Sus scrofa: one gene and its partner. The protein of the gene in region 1 purifies or fractionates together with the protein of each later gene. This does not show direct contact. Links are inferred from orthologs where the notes say so. Each region holds a gene or a part of one and is shown in the gene's direction. Other genes may lie near its edges.

Region 1 (6,734 bases):
TGGTAGGCGGTGAGGTTGAGTGGGGATCGGATCCTTGTGTGGGTCTTTCTGGACCATGGTGGTGATTTTGGCTTCTTCACTGAGGTGAGAGCAGGGTTGTGAGCAGAGGAGGGCCGTGCCTGACTTCTGGGTTGTGACACGATCCTTCGGGCTGCTGTGAGCAGGGTGAGGGGTGAGACCTGGAGCGGGGGAGGCCGCTGCGGTAGTCCAGGTGAGTGGTGACAGTGGGAGAGATGAGTAGAGGGTCGATCCAGGGGATCTTTGGAAAGTAGAGGTGAGGAGTTCCCTTGTAACTCAGTAGGTTAAGGATCTGGTGGTGTCACCGCAGCAGCTCAGGCCACCGCTGTGGCACGGGTTCAGTCCCTGGCCTAGGAGTATCCTACATGCTGTAGGCATAGGTGCGGCCAAAAAGAAAGAAAGAATGTAGAGCTGAGGAGATTTGCTAGTGACTGGTATGTGGCTGTGAGGAGAGCATGGAGGAGGCAGTGTGTATTTTGTCTGTCAAAGGTAACTCAGCGGTTTTGGCTTGGACAACCGCAAGGATCCGATGAGACAGGGAAGACGGTGGGAGGAGCAGCTTTGGGCAGGAAGGTCGGGAGTTTGGTTTTGGATGTGTCGACTTTGAGATGTTGGTTCTGATCTGAGTCTGAAGTTAAGAGGAACAGTCTGGACGGGAGGGAGAAATGATGATGACGATACTCGTGCCTAAGGTTGTTTTGAGAAAGAAAACAAGGAGTTCCTGTCGTGGCTCGGTGGTTAACAAACCCGACTCATATCCATGAGGATGAGGGTTCAATCCCTGGCCTCGCTCCGTGGGTTAAGGATCCGGCATTGCCGTGAGTGGTGGTGTAGGCTGGCAGCTACAGCTCCAGTTTGGCCCCCTCTCCTGGGAACCTCCATGTGCCAGGGGCGTGGCCCTAAACGGACAAAAAGAGAGAGAATGAAAACAAGTGCCCGAAGGTTAGGAGCTCAGCATATGCATCTAGTTGGCAGACAGTCACCTGCATGCAGAACCTTAGCAATAAGAGGGCCTGGGAAGCGTTTTTAGGGCTCTAACCCCTGGGACAGGAAGATAGACCTGGACGCCCCCCGCTTAACACTGTTCCTCTTGCCCCAGTAACCGGCCTCCACGATGTTGATGAGTATATGCAGGCCCAGCTCCTCCTAGCCGTGAGTAACCCTGGCTGCCCCTGCCTCAGTCTGGCCCCCTCCTGGCTGGCTGGCTCCACCTCAGCCTTAGCCACCTGTCCTGCCCACAGGCTCTGAACATCGCCACACACGTCTTGAAGCCAGGGGGCTGCTTTGTGGCCAAGGTAAGCCTCAGGGAACCTGGTAGGGGATAGAGAGGGGTCCCCGAAGACCACCCTCGTGCCTCCATCTCTGCCTGCCTCCCCATCCCGCAGATCTTCCGAGGCCGGGATGTGACGCTGATCTACAGCCAGCTGCGTGTCTTCTTCTCCAGCGTGCTCTGTGCCAAGCCCAGGAGCAGCCGGAACTCCAGCATCGGTCAGTGGGGTGGAGGGACCGGGTGGGGGGAGGTGTGACACTCGGGGACGCATCCCACACCGGCTGGAGGTGGCAGGGGCCCCTCACTCCACCTTCTCCCCACAGAGGCTTTCGCTGTCTGTAAGGGTTATGACCCCCCTGCGGGTTTCCTGCCAGACCTGACCAAACCCCTGCTGGACCACTCTTACGGTGAGAGCCAGAGCCCTGGGCCTCATCCCTGGGGAGAGTCTGTGCCCTTAGGGAATTTATGTCCCAGGAGGGCCCTTAGCCCCACCCCCTGGTGGAAACCCTGCCCCTCGGGGGAATTCTGTCCCAAGAGGATCCTCAAGCCCAGTCCGCTCGTGGGAACTCTCGGACCTGGTGAGAATTCTGTCCCGGGAGGATCCTGAGTCCTGCCCCACTGGAGACTCCACCCAGCTAAGGCGATTCTAGCCCAGGAAGACTCTCTAGCCCAGGAAGACTCGGTCACACCCCCAAGTGTGGGAATTTTGTCCCATGAGGGCCTTCAGCCTGGCCCCCAGAGGGAAAAGGCACAGAGCTGCTCTCGTGACAAGTGCCCTTGAGTGAGACGAAGTCCAGGCAGCGCATGGTATGGAATTAAGTGCAGCGGGAGAAAAATGAGCTGGAGAGGGTGCTGTTTCCACATGATTGGAGGGCTTCCCTGAGGAGGTGATCAGAACCAAATGAAGGGTTTCTGGTGAAGGCGTGTAAGAGCAGCTGGTGGACACGTGGGAGAGGTCTCAGTAACTCATCCTGGCTACCGCTTGAGTCACGACCAGTCCCAGACACCCCAGCCCCATCCTGTCTCATCTCTCCCTGTTGGTCAGATCCAGATTTCAACCAATTGGATGGGCCTACCCGCACCATTGTGCCATTTGTGACCTGCGGGGACCTGAGCGCCTATGATTCGGACCGCAGCTACCCACTGGACGTAAGTGCCTGGCCAGCGGTGGGCGGTTGGAGGGCGCTGTCCTAGTTTCCCAGGTCCTCACCATCTCCGGGACTTGTGTCCTTGCAGCTAGAGGACGGCTCAGAGTACAAGTACACCCCACCCACGCAGCCCCCCATCTCACCACCGTACCAGGAGGCCTGCACATTGAAGAAGAAGGGGCAGCTAGCCAAGGAGACCCGCCCGCAGGACTGCTCCGTCAGCACAGCGGCCGTGTTGCCCCAGTCCCTGGCTGCCCCACAGTGCCACACCCTGCTGGCCTCTGAGGTCTGGAGACCCGGTCCCAGGGCCCTCCGTGCCTTTTCTCTGCACCCACAGCGACCCCCTCCTCATGTGCCTCTTTCTGCCCCAAATCACTGGTTTCTGGGGCAAAATTCTCTTCCCTGCCTCCCAATGACCGTAAAAATCAGTGGGTAAAAGCAGGCATAGTGAACAGAAGAGCTTAGCCAAGTATCTGAGTCCCTTTTCTTTTTCTTGGGTAGGTGGAAGACAGTGAAATGAATTGTTCGCCTTGACACGTTAAGGTAAACTTGCCTTTTTATCTGAGAGTTGGAGTAGCGGGCACCTTTAAGAAAAAAACCAAGGAAGATTTTTACCTTTGAAATTTTTATGCCAACTGATAGGATTTCGGCCAGCAAACCTTTCCTACAACACTCGATGTCATGGGCTAGGAATTGCTTTCAGCATCTGACACATCGAGGCGCTCAGTCAGCGTTTCTTGAGCACATGCTGTGCGCTGGGCATTGTTCAAAGTTTGAAGATAGAGCGGGAACAAAACAGGCAAACATCCCGGCCCTCAGAGCTTCTAGTTAGGGAAGGAGGTAAAGAGTAACACAGTGTGGCAGTTCCCGTTGTGGCTCAGTGGTTAATGAATTCGACTAAGAACCAAGAGATTGCGGGTTTGATCCCTGGCCTTGCTCAGTGGGTTAAGGATCTGGTGTTGCCGTGAGCTGTGGTGGAGGTCACAGGGGCGGCTCAGATCTGGTGTTGCTGTGGCTGTGGTGTAGGCCGGCAGCTACAGCTCAGATTCAACCCCTAGCCTGGGAACCTCCATGTGCCACGGGTGCGGCCCTAGAAAAGGCAAAAAAGACAAAAATAAATAAAAGAGTAACACCATGAATGCAGGGGCTTCCACCCACACTTAGAAATACTATCTGTCTGAACACGTGTGTGTGTGTATAGTGTGTAAAAATACTATTGGTTAGCAAAAGAAGGAGCAGGATAATGAGATGAAGAACTCTTCATCAAAGAGGGTGGCGGTTTGCATGTTGTTTTTTTTTAAGGGTCCGCACGCGTGGCATATGGAGGTTCCCAGGCTAGGGTTGAATCAGAGCTGTAGCTACTAGCCTACACCACAGCCACAGCAACGCCAGATCCTTAACCCACTGAGGGAAGCCAGGGATTGAATTCGCATCCTCATGGACCCTAGTCAGGTTTGTTAACCACAGAGCCACAAAGGGAACGCCTTAACCCACTGAGTGAGGCCAGGGATCGAACCTGCATCCTCGTGGATCCTAGTTGGATTCATTAACTGCTGAGCCATGAAGGGAACTCTGGCAGTTTGCAGTTTTTAAGTGAGTTGTCCTGGAAGGGCTCATGAGGTACTGTTTGAGCAGAGACCTGAAGGAGACGAGGGAGGGAGTCCGTGTGTTTAGGGGAAGAGCATTCCAGGGAGAGGCACTAGCAAATACAAAGGCCCTGGGGCGGAACTGTGCCTTGTATGTGGGGGCCTATCATCCTCAGGACACTGTGTTAGAGGCCGTCCTTTCTGGCAGTGGCTCTGCAGTCTTCCATTAAAATAAGTAAAAAAAAAAAAAAAAAGACACCTTTAAAAAAACGAAATGGCAACCGACGGTGGGAAGAGATTTTCTTTTCTTATGGCCACACTGCGGCATATAGAGGTTCCCAGGCATATAGAGGTTCCCAGGGTCGAATCATAGCTGCAGCTGCCAGCCTACACCACAGCCATAGCAACTCGCGATCCATACTGCGTCTCCCAGCTACACCACAGCTCGTGGCAATGCCAGATCCCCGACCCACGGAGAGAGACCAGGGATCGAACCTGCGTCCTCGTGGATACTAGGTTTCTTAACCCGCTGAGCCACAACAGGAACTCCCGGGAAAAGATATTTACAATCCCTATATACAGTGTCCTTGATGTTAAAAAAGCTTCTGTAGGAGTTCCCATTGTGTCTCAGCAGTAACAAACCCAACTAGCATCCATGAGGACGTGGGTTCAATCCCTGGCCCCACTCAGTGGGTCAAGGACCCGAGGTTGCCGTGCACTGCTGTGTAGATCACAAACGTGGCTGTGGTGTATGCCAGCAGCTGGGGCTCCAATTCAACCCCCTAGTCTGGGAATGTATATTGCAGGTGCAGCCCTAAAAAAAAAAGTTACAAATCGATAAGGGAAAGTAAATATGACAATATGGCCAGTAAGCACTTGAAAAGCTGCTCATCAGAGAAATATAAGCTAAAACTAAAAAGATTGACCATTCTAAGTATCTAGAAGGTCATGCAGCAGTTGGAACCCTAACATATACTCCAATGGCAGCATAAAATGGTGTTGCCAATTTTCCACTGGAAATTTGTTAGGCATTTTCTGCTAAAGCTGCATGTGTGCCAGTTCCTCTAAGAAATGAGTACTAAGGAGTTCCCTTCGTGGCTCAGTGGTTAACAAACCTGATTAGGATCCATGAGGTTGAGACTCGATCCCTGGCCTCGCTCAGTGGGTTAACGATCCGGCGTTACCGTGAGCTGTGGGGTAGGTTGCAGACGCGGCTTGGATCCTCAGGGCTGCAGCGTAGGCCAGCAGCTGTAGCTCCGGTTCAGCCCCTAGCCTGGGACTCTCCATATGCCATACTAGAATGTTCTTAGCCAGCATTATTGCAGCACCCCCAAACTAGATACAGCCCTGACATCCATCAGCTGTAGAAGGGATCATTAAATCCTGGTATATTCACAGTTGAGAACTAGACATCCCAAGATATGTTTTATGCCTTTTTGTGTGCGCATGTTATGGTTCACAATAAAAGTAGAGGGAAAAAAAAACTCCACGAAAAATGTCAGTAGCTGAGTAAACAATGATTATAGTAGAAGACAGTGGGGAAATATATTTTGTTTTAAAACTTCCTTTTACTTTGACCTTTCGTTAGCTGGCAATCTGATAAGGACTTGGAAGCTCTTCGCTGTCAGGAAAACCAAGAACTTGAGTTGATGAACTTGTTTTCAAGTAGCTCATCAACGGGTCCTGAACACACAAGCGCCGAGCAGGAACCTGCAACAACCAGCAGAAACACAGCGAGGAAAGAAACATCTCGGACTGTCCATCTGCGCCGCCGAGGGGGGTCTTGCCTCCTCTCTAAATCTTTCCAGCGGTGTCCTCCTGATTCTGTTCACACTTTACCCTGAAAGCAGGGATTCTTAACCTGATAGAAGTCAGGGCTATCTGTGAACTTGTTGCAGGGAAATAACTACGTTTTTATTGATTGAACAGAAATTTTAGCTCTATTCCTGAACCTCAATGCTGGCAGCGCATCACAACAGTGAAAGCAGTGCCTGCAACTTTCCCACCAATATGGGTCACGGTTACTTTTTTTTTTTTCTTTTTAACGTTATGTTACAGTCATTGTGGGTGTCTTATAAAACATTGTTCACATTGGTCACTACTTTGAGATAAGATCTTATAATTTGATATACTCCTTTTAAAAAGTTCATATATTACAGCATCCCAGTGTTGTTTCATTTTAATATAATAATATATTTTCCAGTTTTCTCGCGATATAATGGACATAGGATTGTGTGAGTTAAAAGTGTACATGATATGATGTACCTGTGTATTACAAAATGATTGCCACAAGTTTCGTTAGCATCCATCACCTCACAGCTACATTTGTGTGTGTGTGTGTGTGTGATGGGAACTTTTTAAGATTTGCTCTCTTGGAGTTCCCACTGTGGTGCAGAAGGTTAGGGATCCTGTGTGGTCGCAGCTGTGGCTCGGATTCAATCCCTGGCCCAGGAACTTCCATATGCCATGGGTTTGGCCGAAAAAAGAAAAGGCTTACTCTCTAAGCAACTTTCAAATATACCATACGGTATTGATAAGTATAGTCCCTGGGCTGCACATTTCATCCTATAACTGGAAGTTTGTACCTCTTGACCACCTTCACCCATACAGTGTTTGTGTTTTTCTGACTTACTTCATTTAGCGTAAGGCCCTCAAGGTCCATCCATGTAGTCCCAAATGGCAGGGTTTCCTTTTTTGTGGCTGAATAATATT
Region 2 (6,565 bases), on another chromosome or scaffold:
GTACAGCTGAAGCTGAGACCAGGATTTTCCAAGGTTCAAGTCTGCAGTTTGAGCATACTTGCAGTAACCTAATAGGTTCATAAGCTACATACTGAGAATTTTCCCTACTCCCTGTTTCTTCATGGCTCATCAGAGTTAGGCGAGGGGTTCTTATGTGGCTTTTTGCCTTTGTCTAGGTGAGGGGCCAGATGTCCTCGTGTACACCTTGGATTTTGGCGGACATCTGCGGATGATGAAACGAGTGCAGAACCTGCTTGGCCACTATCTTATCCATGGGTTCCGGGTGCGACCAGAACCCAACGGAGACCTTGACTCGGAGGCCATGGTGGCAGTGTTTGGGAGCAAGGGACTCCGAATTGTGAAAATTAGCTGGGGACAGGGCCGCTTCCGGGAGCTCTGGCGCTCTGGCTTGTGGAACTTGTCTGACTGGATCTGGGATGCACGTTGGCTCGAGGGGAACATGGCCTTGGCCCTGGGCCACAACTCAGTAGTGCTGTACGACCCTGTGGTAGGGTGCATCCTGCAGGACGTGCCCTGCACAGACAGGTGCACCCTCTCCTCAGCCTGTCTGATTGGAGACACCTGGAAGGAGCTGACCATAGTGGCGGGTGCCGTTTCCAACCAGCTCCTGGTCTGGTACCCAGCAGCCGCTCTGATAGACAACAAGCCTGTAGCCCCCGACCGACGGGTCAGTGGGCATGTGGGTGTCATCTTCAGCATGTCATACCTGGAAAGCAAGGGCTTGTTGGCCACGGCTTCAGAAGACCGAAGTGTTCGCATCTGGAAGGTGGGTGACCTGCGGGTGCCTGGGGGTCGAGTGCAGAATATTGGGCACTGCTTTGGGCACAGTGCCCGTGTTTGGCAGGTCAAGCTCCTGGAGAATTACCTTATCAGCGCAGGGGAAGACTGTGTCTGCTTGGTATGGAGCCATGAAGGCGAAATCCTCCAGGCCTTTCGGGGCCACCAGGGCCGTGGGATCCGGGCCATAGCTGCCCATGAGAGGCAGGCCTGGGTGATCACTGGGGGTGATGATTCAGGCATTCGGCTCTGGCACCTGGTAGGGCGTGGGCACCCGGGTTCGGGGGTCTCAGCTCTTTGCTTCAAGTCCCATAGCAGGCCAGGTGCCCTCAAGGCTGTGACACTGGCTGGCTCGTGGCGAGTACTGGCAGTGACTGATACAGGGGCCCTGTACCTGTATGACCTCGAGGTCAAGTGCTGGGAACAGCTGCTGGAGGACAAGCGCTTCCAGTCCTACTGCCTTCTGGAGGCAGCTCCTGGTCCTGAGGGCTTTGGACTGTGTGCTATGGCCAACGGGGAGGGTCGTGTCAAGGTTGTCCCCATCAACACTCCAACTGCAGCTGTGGATCTGACCCTATTCCAAGGGAAGGTGCACAGCCTGAGCTGGGCCCTCCGTGGCTATGAGGAGCTCCTGTTGCTGGCATCAGGCCCTGGTGGTGTAGTGGCTTGCCTAGAGATCTCTGCTGCGCCCTCTGGCAAGGCCATCTTTGTCAAGGAACGTTGCCGGTACCTGCTACCTCCGAGCAAGCAGAGATGGCACACATGCAGTGCGTTCCTACCCCCAGGCGACTTCCTGGTGTGTGGTGATCGTCGGGGCTCTGTGTTGCTGTTCCCCTCCCGACCAGATCTGCTCAAGGATCTCGGGGTTGGAGGCAAGGCTGGAGTTGGTGCTGGAGCACTTGGAGCAGGTGGTAACAATGAGGGTGGTGAGAACGCCTTGGCTGAGTGGGGCCCTGTGTCCTCCCTCCCTTCTCTGCATGGGAAGCAGGGTGTGACCTCAGTCACCTGCCATGGTGGCTACGTGTACACAACAGGGCGTGATGGTGCCTACTACCAGCTCTTTGTGCGAGGTGGCCAACTCCAGCCTGTCCTAAGGCAGAAGTCCTGTCGAGGCATGAACTGGGTGGCTGGGCTCCGTATGGTGACTGATGGGAGCATGGTCATCCTGGGTTTCCACGCCAATGAGTTTGTGGTGTGGAGCCCCCGGTCTCATGAGAAGCTGCATATCATCAACTGTGGTGGAGGGCATCGCTCCTGGGCCTTCTCTGATACCGAGTCTGCTATGGCCTTCGCCTACCTCAAGGATGGGGATGTCATGCTGTACCGAGCTTTGGGTGGCTGCACCCGGCCACATGTGATTCTCCGGGAGAGCCTGCATGGCCGTGAGATCACTTGTGTAAAGCGTGTGGGTACCATCACCCTGGGGCCTGAATTCGGGGTGCCCAGCTTCATTCAGCCTGATTATCTAGAGCCTGGAAGTGAGGGGCCTGGCCTAATTGACATCGTGATCACGTGCAGTGAAGACACTACCGTCTGTGTCCTGGCACTCCCCACAGCCACAGGCTCAGCCCATGCGCTTACAGCTGTTTGTAACCATATCTCCTCGGTACGTGCAGTGGCTGTCTGGGGCACTGGCACCCCAGGTGGCCCACAGGATCCTCAGCCTGGCCTGACTGCCCATGTGGTGTCTGCGGGGGGCCGGGCTGAGATGCACTGCTTCACCCTCATGGTCACCCCAGACCCCAGCACCCCAAGTCACCTTGCCTGTCATGTCATGCACCTTTCATCCCACCGGCTGGATGAGTATTGGGACCGGCAGCGAAATCGGCACCGGATGATCAAGGTGGATCCAGAGACAAGGTGATGTGCACTGCAGGACAGGAGCATGGGGGTGGGGCATGTGGGGCACGCCCTGTGTGACTGCTCCTAGGCTCCACCTGACTGCTGTGTGTTGTCTCTGCAGGTACATGTCTCTAGCTGTATGTGAGTTTGACCGGCCTGGCCTTGGCCCCCTTGTGGCTGCAGCCTGTAGTGATGGGGCAGTGAGGTGAGAGCATGGGATCCAGGGGACTGGGAAACAAAGAATATATAGGTGCCCAGAATGGGGTCTTAGTTGTCTCTCCCCCTCCGTCCCAGGCTCTTTCTCTTGCAGGATTCTGGACAACGGCTGCAGCTCCTGGCTGAAACCTTCCACCACAAGCGGTGTGTCCTCAAGGTCCACTCCTTCACACATGAGGCACCCAATCAGCGGCGGTAAGAAGGGCTGCATGTGGTCCTGGGTGGGTTGGGTGGATCTCACTGCTTTCCATCCCTGTCACTGACCCAGCCTCCCTTTCCGGCTGCCAGGAGGCTGTTCCTATGCAGTGCAGCCACCGACGGCAGCTTGGCCTTCTGGGATCTTACCACCGTGCTAGACCATGGCTCCACTGCCCTGGAGCCTCCAGTGGAACCTGGGCTTCCCTACCGTGAGTAGCTGGAGTGCAGCTGTGGCTGTCCCTGCTCCTTCCACTCACCTTTGTGGCAGGCTGGATCCTGACAACTATCTTCTTCCTCCAGGGCTGGGCACCCCCTGCCTGACTCTCCAGGCTCACAGCTGTGGTGTCAACAGCCTACACACCTTGCCCACACCAGCGGGCCATCTCGTGGCCAGTGGCAGTGAGGATGGCTCCCTCCATGTCTTTGTGCTTGCCGTGGAGGTACCAGAGCTGGAAGAGGCTGTGGGGGGTGCTGAGCAGCTGCCTCAGCTGCAAGTGCTGGAGGAATACTCTGTCCCCTGTGCACATGCTGCCCATGTGACAGGCCTCAAGATCTTAAGCCCAAGCCTCATGGTCTCAGCCTCCATCGACCAACGGTTGACCTTCTGGCGTCTGGGGCATGGGGAACCCACCTTTATGAACAGTACAGTGTACCATGTACCAGATGTGGCCGACATGGACTGTTGGCCTGTGAGCCCCGAGTTTGGCCATCGCTGTGCTCTTGGGGGTCAGGGTCTTGAGGTTTACAACTGGTATGACTGACATGTCCCGTGGTGGCCGGCGTGCTGGGCATGGGGCCTGCTCACAGACAGAGTGGAGCATGACCAATTGTCTGTGCCCATGCCCAGTGTGCCTAGAGGGGAGGAGGCGGCAGCCGTGGGTTCCAGACCTCAGAGCAGGAGCTGAAGGTGAGTAGAATGCTGTCAGGGCAGAGTAAGAAATGTGCCCCACTCCACACAATAGGATAAAACGTCATAACAGAAGCAATTTATTTTGGCTCCAGGTAGCTTAACAAAATCTGTGGGTGTGTTGTGTTTTTGCTTTTTTTTTTTTTTTGATACTTGTTTTTTTCAGTTGATTTTGTGGACATTCCCAGACATTGGGGCCTCTGTGGCCTTAGATGTGGCTCAGTGGAGGGAGACCCAGCATGGCCAGCCCAGTGTGGAGCACATCACTCACAGCCTGCAGAAGCTGTAGACGGGCAAACATTTGACCAAACAGGTGTGGTCGAGGCTCCTGGAGGAAAGAAAGGGCCTGCTGGTCTCATCCTTTGCTTCCCCCGCAACCCTCCCACATACCCCGCTTTGCTGTGCACTTACCCCTAGGATGTGTACCCGGTTATAGTATGAACTGAAATCCATGCTGAGCTGTACCAGGAACTTGCAAACCTAAAGACAGAGACCAAGTCACTGGCCTGTCTTTGTGCCCCTAACCAGAATAAACAGAATGTGTGGTGTGTCCTTGTCTTCTCTGCCTCACCATCTCCGTGCGTGCAGTGATGTGGAGCCCCGGGGCTGTGCAGGCCAGCATTCCTGTGTGGCTCAGCAGGTCTGGGAAGGGGAGGATGCTGTTGAAGAGCAGCAACCACTCACCCTGTGGGGGAGAAGGGTGCTGGGAGGGAAAGGCCAAGCTTCCTGCCTTGTGCTGACCACCCAGCAGGGGTACTCACCTCATCATGCAACAGGGAGAAGTCCAGACTGCTCACAGGTGGGAAAGTGGGGTACAGACCTTTTTCCACGCTGCACCTGTAACCCTCAAAGAGTGTGGCAAGACGTGCGCAGTTGTACATGACAAAGGTGCCACTTTTGGTGCCCTTTGTGGAAATGCTGTTGTCAGCCAGGGCCAGGAGAAGCTGAGGAATGAAGGCACAGCTACAGCAGGATAACTGCACACACTGTCCAGCCAGCCCTGGGGGGCACCTAGGCTCACCTGATTCTGTGGGGCTGTGCTGAGCATCTCAAACTTAATGGTTGCCACACAGAGAACCCTGAAGATTTCTGTCCAGGCTGGGTCTGAGGAAGTATGAGATCAGTCAGTCAGGCTCTAGAGGCAAGGAACAAGGGGTAGGGATGCAGGTGACCTGCCCCTACCCACAGCACAGCAAGAGGCTCCCAAACACACCTTGTGTTAGGTCCTTGCCATACTTCAGTGCTGAGGCCTTGCACACCTGCATATGCCGGAGCCTGCGTTTTTGAAAAGGGTGAGCAGAGGGCCAGTGGGCAGAGTCCTCCCACCTCAACTACCTTGGCTTGCTGGCCTGCCTTCCAGCCTCACTCACTCGTAGTACTCGGGAGCAGTCAGGGTGCCTGGCGCACCAGCTACTTTCACTGGGCCGCAGACCAGGTGCTTCTGTCAGGAAGATAGCAGGGGCTCAGCCACTTGGCAGTAAGATACTCTACAGCAAAAGACCCCTCAATGAACCTAAATATGTAGTTTCCTGAATGACCCCAGCTTTGTGCCTCAGAGCCACTGTCTCAAACTCAGCCCCTCAAGACACAATCCAGCCTCTTCAACCTATCTTCATCAATATTCTCTGGGGTAGGCCTCCAGACTGCACCTTCTCCCAGCATCTGCTGCACACAACCACTCACTCACCAAGTCTGTCATCTCCCCAAGTCAATCAAGTGTCACCTTCTGGAACCATCAACTAACAGGACCCTTTCTAGGACCTTCTAAGGTTGGTGTGGGGAGCTCCACCATAACTGACCCACCTGTCTGAGAGGAGCCTGGTCATCCAACTTCCACCAAAGCAGGTCCAACTTTTGTTGCTGGAACTCCTCCTCACAACTCACCACGTGTACAACCACACAACCATCTGCACCAGTGTCTGAGACTGCAGCCTAGAGGAAAGGACAATCACTGCTTGGGACACAGGACATTTAGTTTGCCAGAGATTCACAGGGTGGGCATTCAGTCACTAACCAGGCCTAGAGAGCTGTGTTCCGGCCAATGCTGCACAGCCTCCTGCAGCTCAGCCAGCAGAGAAAGCAGCTCCTCCGTCACTGCAAAGAACACACAGCCCTGAGTTTGGTGGGAAATGCGCGGCCCACCAGCTTACTGGCCCTGCTAGACTCTGGGTCCTACCTAGGCAGCTGTCCAGGTTGGGGTCATAGCCAGCTCTGCGGCCCCGTTCGTCCACCAGCTCCTTCAGGCACACTTGGCCCAGGGCGCCTGGGGGTAGGGCTCCCGAATCATGGGCAGGGGTGAGCTCTGCAAGTGCACGGCTCCTCAGGGCTTCGGTCACAGTCCTGGCTCTCCCCGAGGCCGCGGGCCATTCCACCCGCAGCTGCTGCAAGAAGGTCAGCATGTGCGGGTCCCGCACGGCGGGCACTAGGCGCACACTCACCCTGCGAAGCGAAGTAGTAGTCTCAGCCCAAGCGCCAGGCTCACCTCGCCGGGATTTCCCATCCGCAGCAGTCCGCCCCCGTTCACCTGTGAGCGTGAAGAGCTCGCGCCAGGTGGTCGGCCACGAGCACGGCACGCAGCTGGCTCAGGCGGAGGGCGCAGGGGCG

Evidence for each region.
Region 2: the proteins of FTSJ1 (region 1) and WDR6 purify together in Homo sapiens (affinity purification with mass spectrometry; 3 studies listed by BioGRID and IntAct, with this or other methods). This does not show direct contact. The link is inferred for Sus scrofa from reciprocal best matches to the Homo sapiens genes FTSJ1 and WDR6.

Annotation. Positions count from the first base shown.
Region 1 is NC_010461.5:42,613,975-42,620,708, forward strand, and holds the end of FTSJ1 (putative tRNA (cytidine(32)/guanosine(34)-2'-O)-methyltransferase), read left to right. Parts: intron 1-1,117; coding exon 1,118-1,170; intron 1,171-1,259; coding exon 1,260-1,313; intron 1,314-1,403; coding exon 1,404-1,506; intron 1,507-1,611; coding exon 1,612-1,695; intron 1,696-2,333; coding exon 2,334-2,437; intron 2,438-2,524; coding exon 2,525-2,722; exon of another isoform or gene 2,723-2,937; coding exon 2,938-2,970; 3' UTR 2,971-2,979; intron 2,980-5,610; 3' UTR 5,611-6,224; downstream 6,225-6,734. UniProt on the Homo sapiens protein: Methylates the 2'-O-ribose of nucleotides at positions 32 and 34 of the tRNA anticodon loop of substrate tRNAs. Requisite for faithful cytoplasmic translation.
Region 2 is NC_010455.5:31,646,855-31,653,419, forward strand, and holds the end of WDR6 (WD repeat-containing protein 6), read left to right. Parts: intron 1-176; coding exon 177-2,658; intron 2,659-2,761; coding exon 2,762-2,845; intron 2,846-2,934; coding exon 2,935-3,051; intron 3,052-3,144; coding exon 3,145-3,263; intron 3,264-3,354; coding exon 3,355-3,815; 3' UTR 3,816-4,169; coding exon of another isoform or gene 4,170-4,441; 3' UTR 4,442-4,513; downstream 4,514-6,565. Other genes in the region: DALRD3 (DALR anticodon-binding domain-containing protein 3), read right to left, coding at 4,229-4,441, 4,533-4,646, 4,723-4,905, 4,983-5,065, 5,175-5,236, 5,332-5,402, 5,765-5,893, 5,976-6,055 and 2 more. UniProt on the Homo sapiens protein: Together with methyltransferase FTSJ1, methylates the 2'-O-ribose of nucleotides at position 34 of the tRNA anticodon loop of substrate tRNAs. Required for the correct positioning of the substrate tRNA for methylation.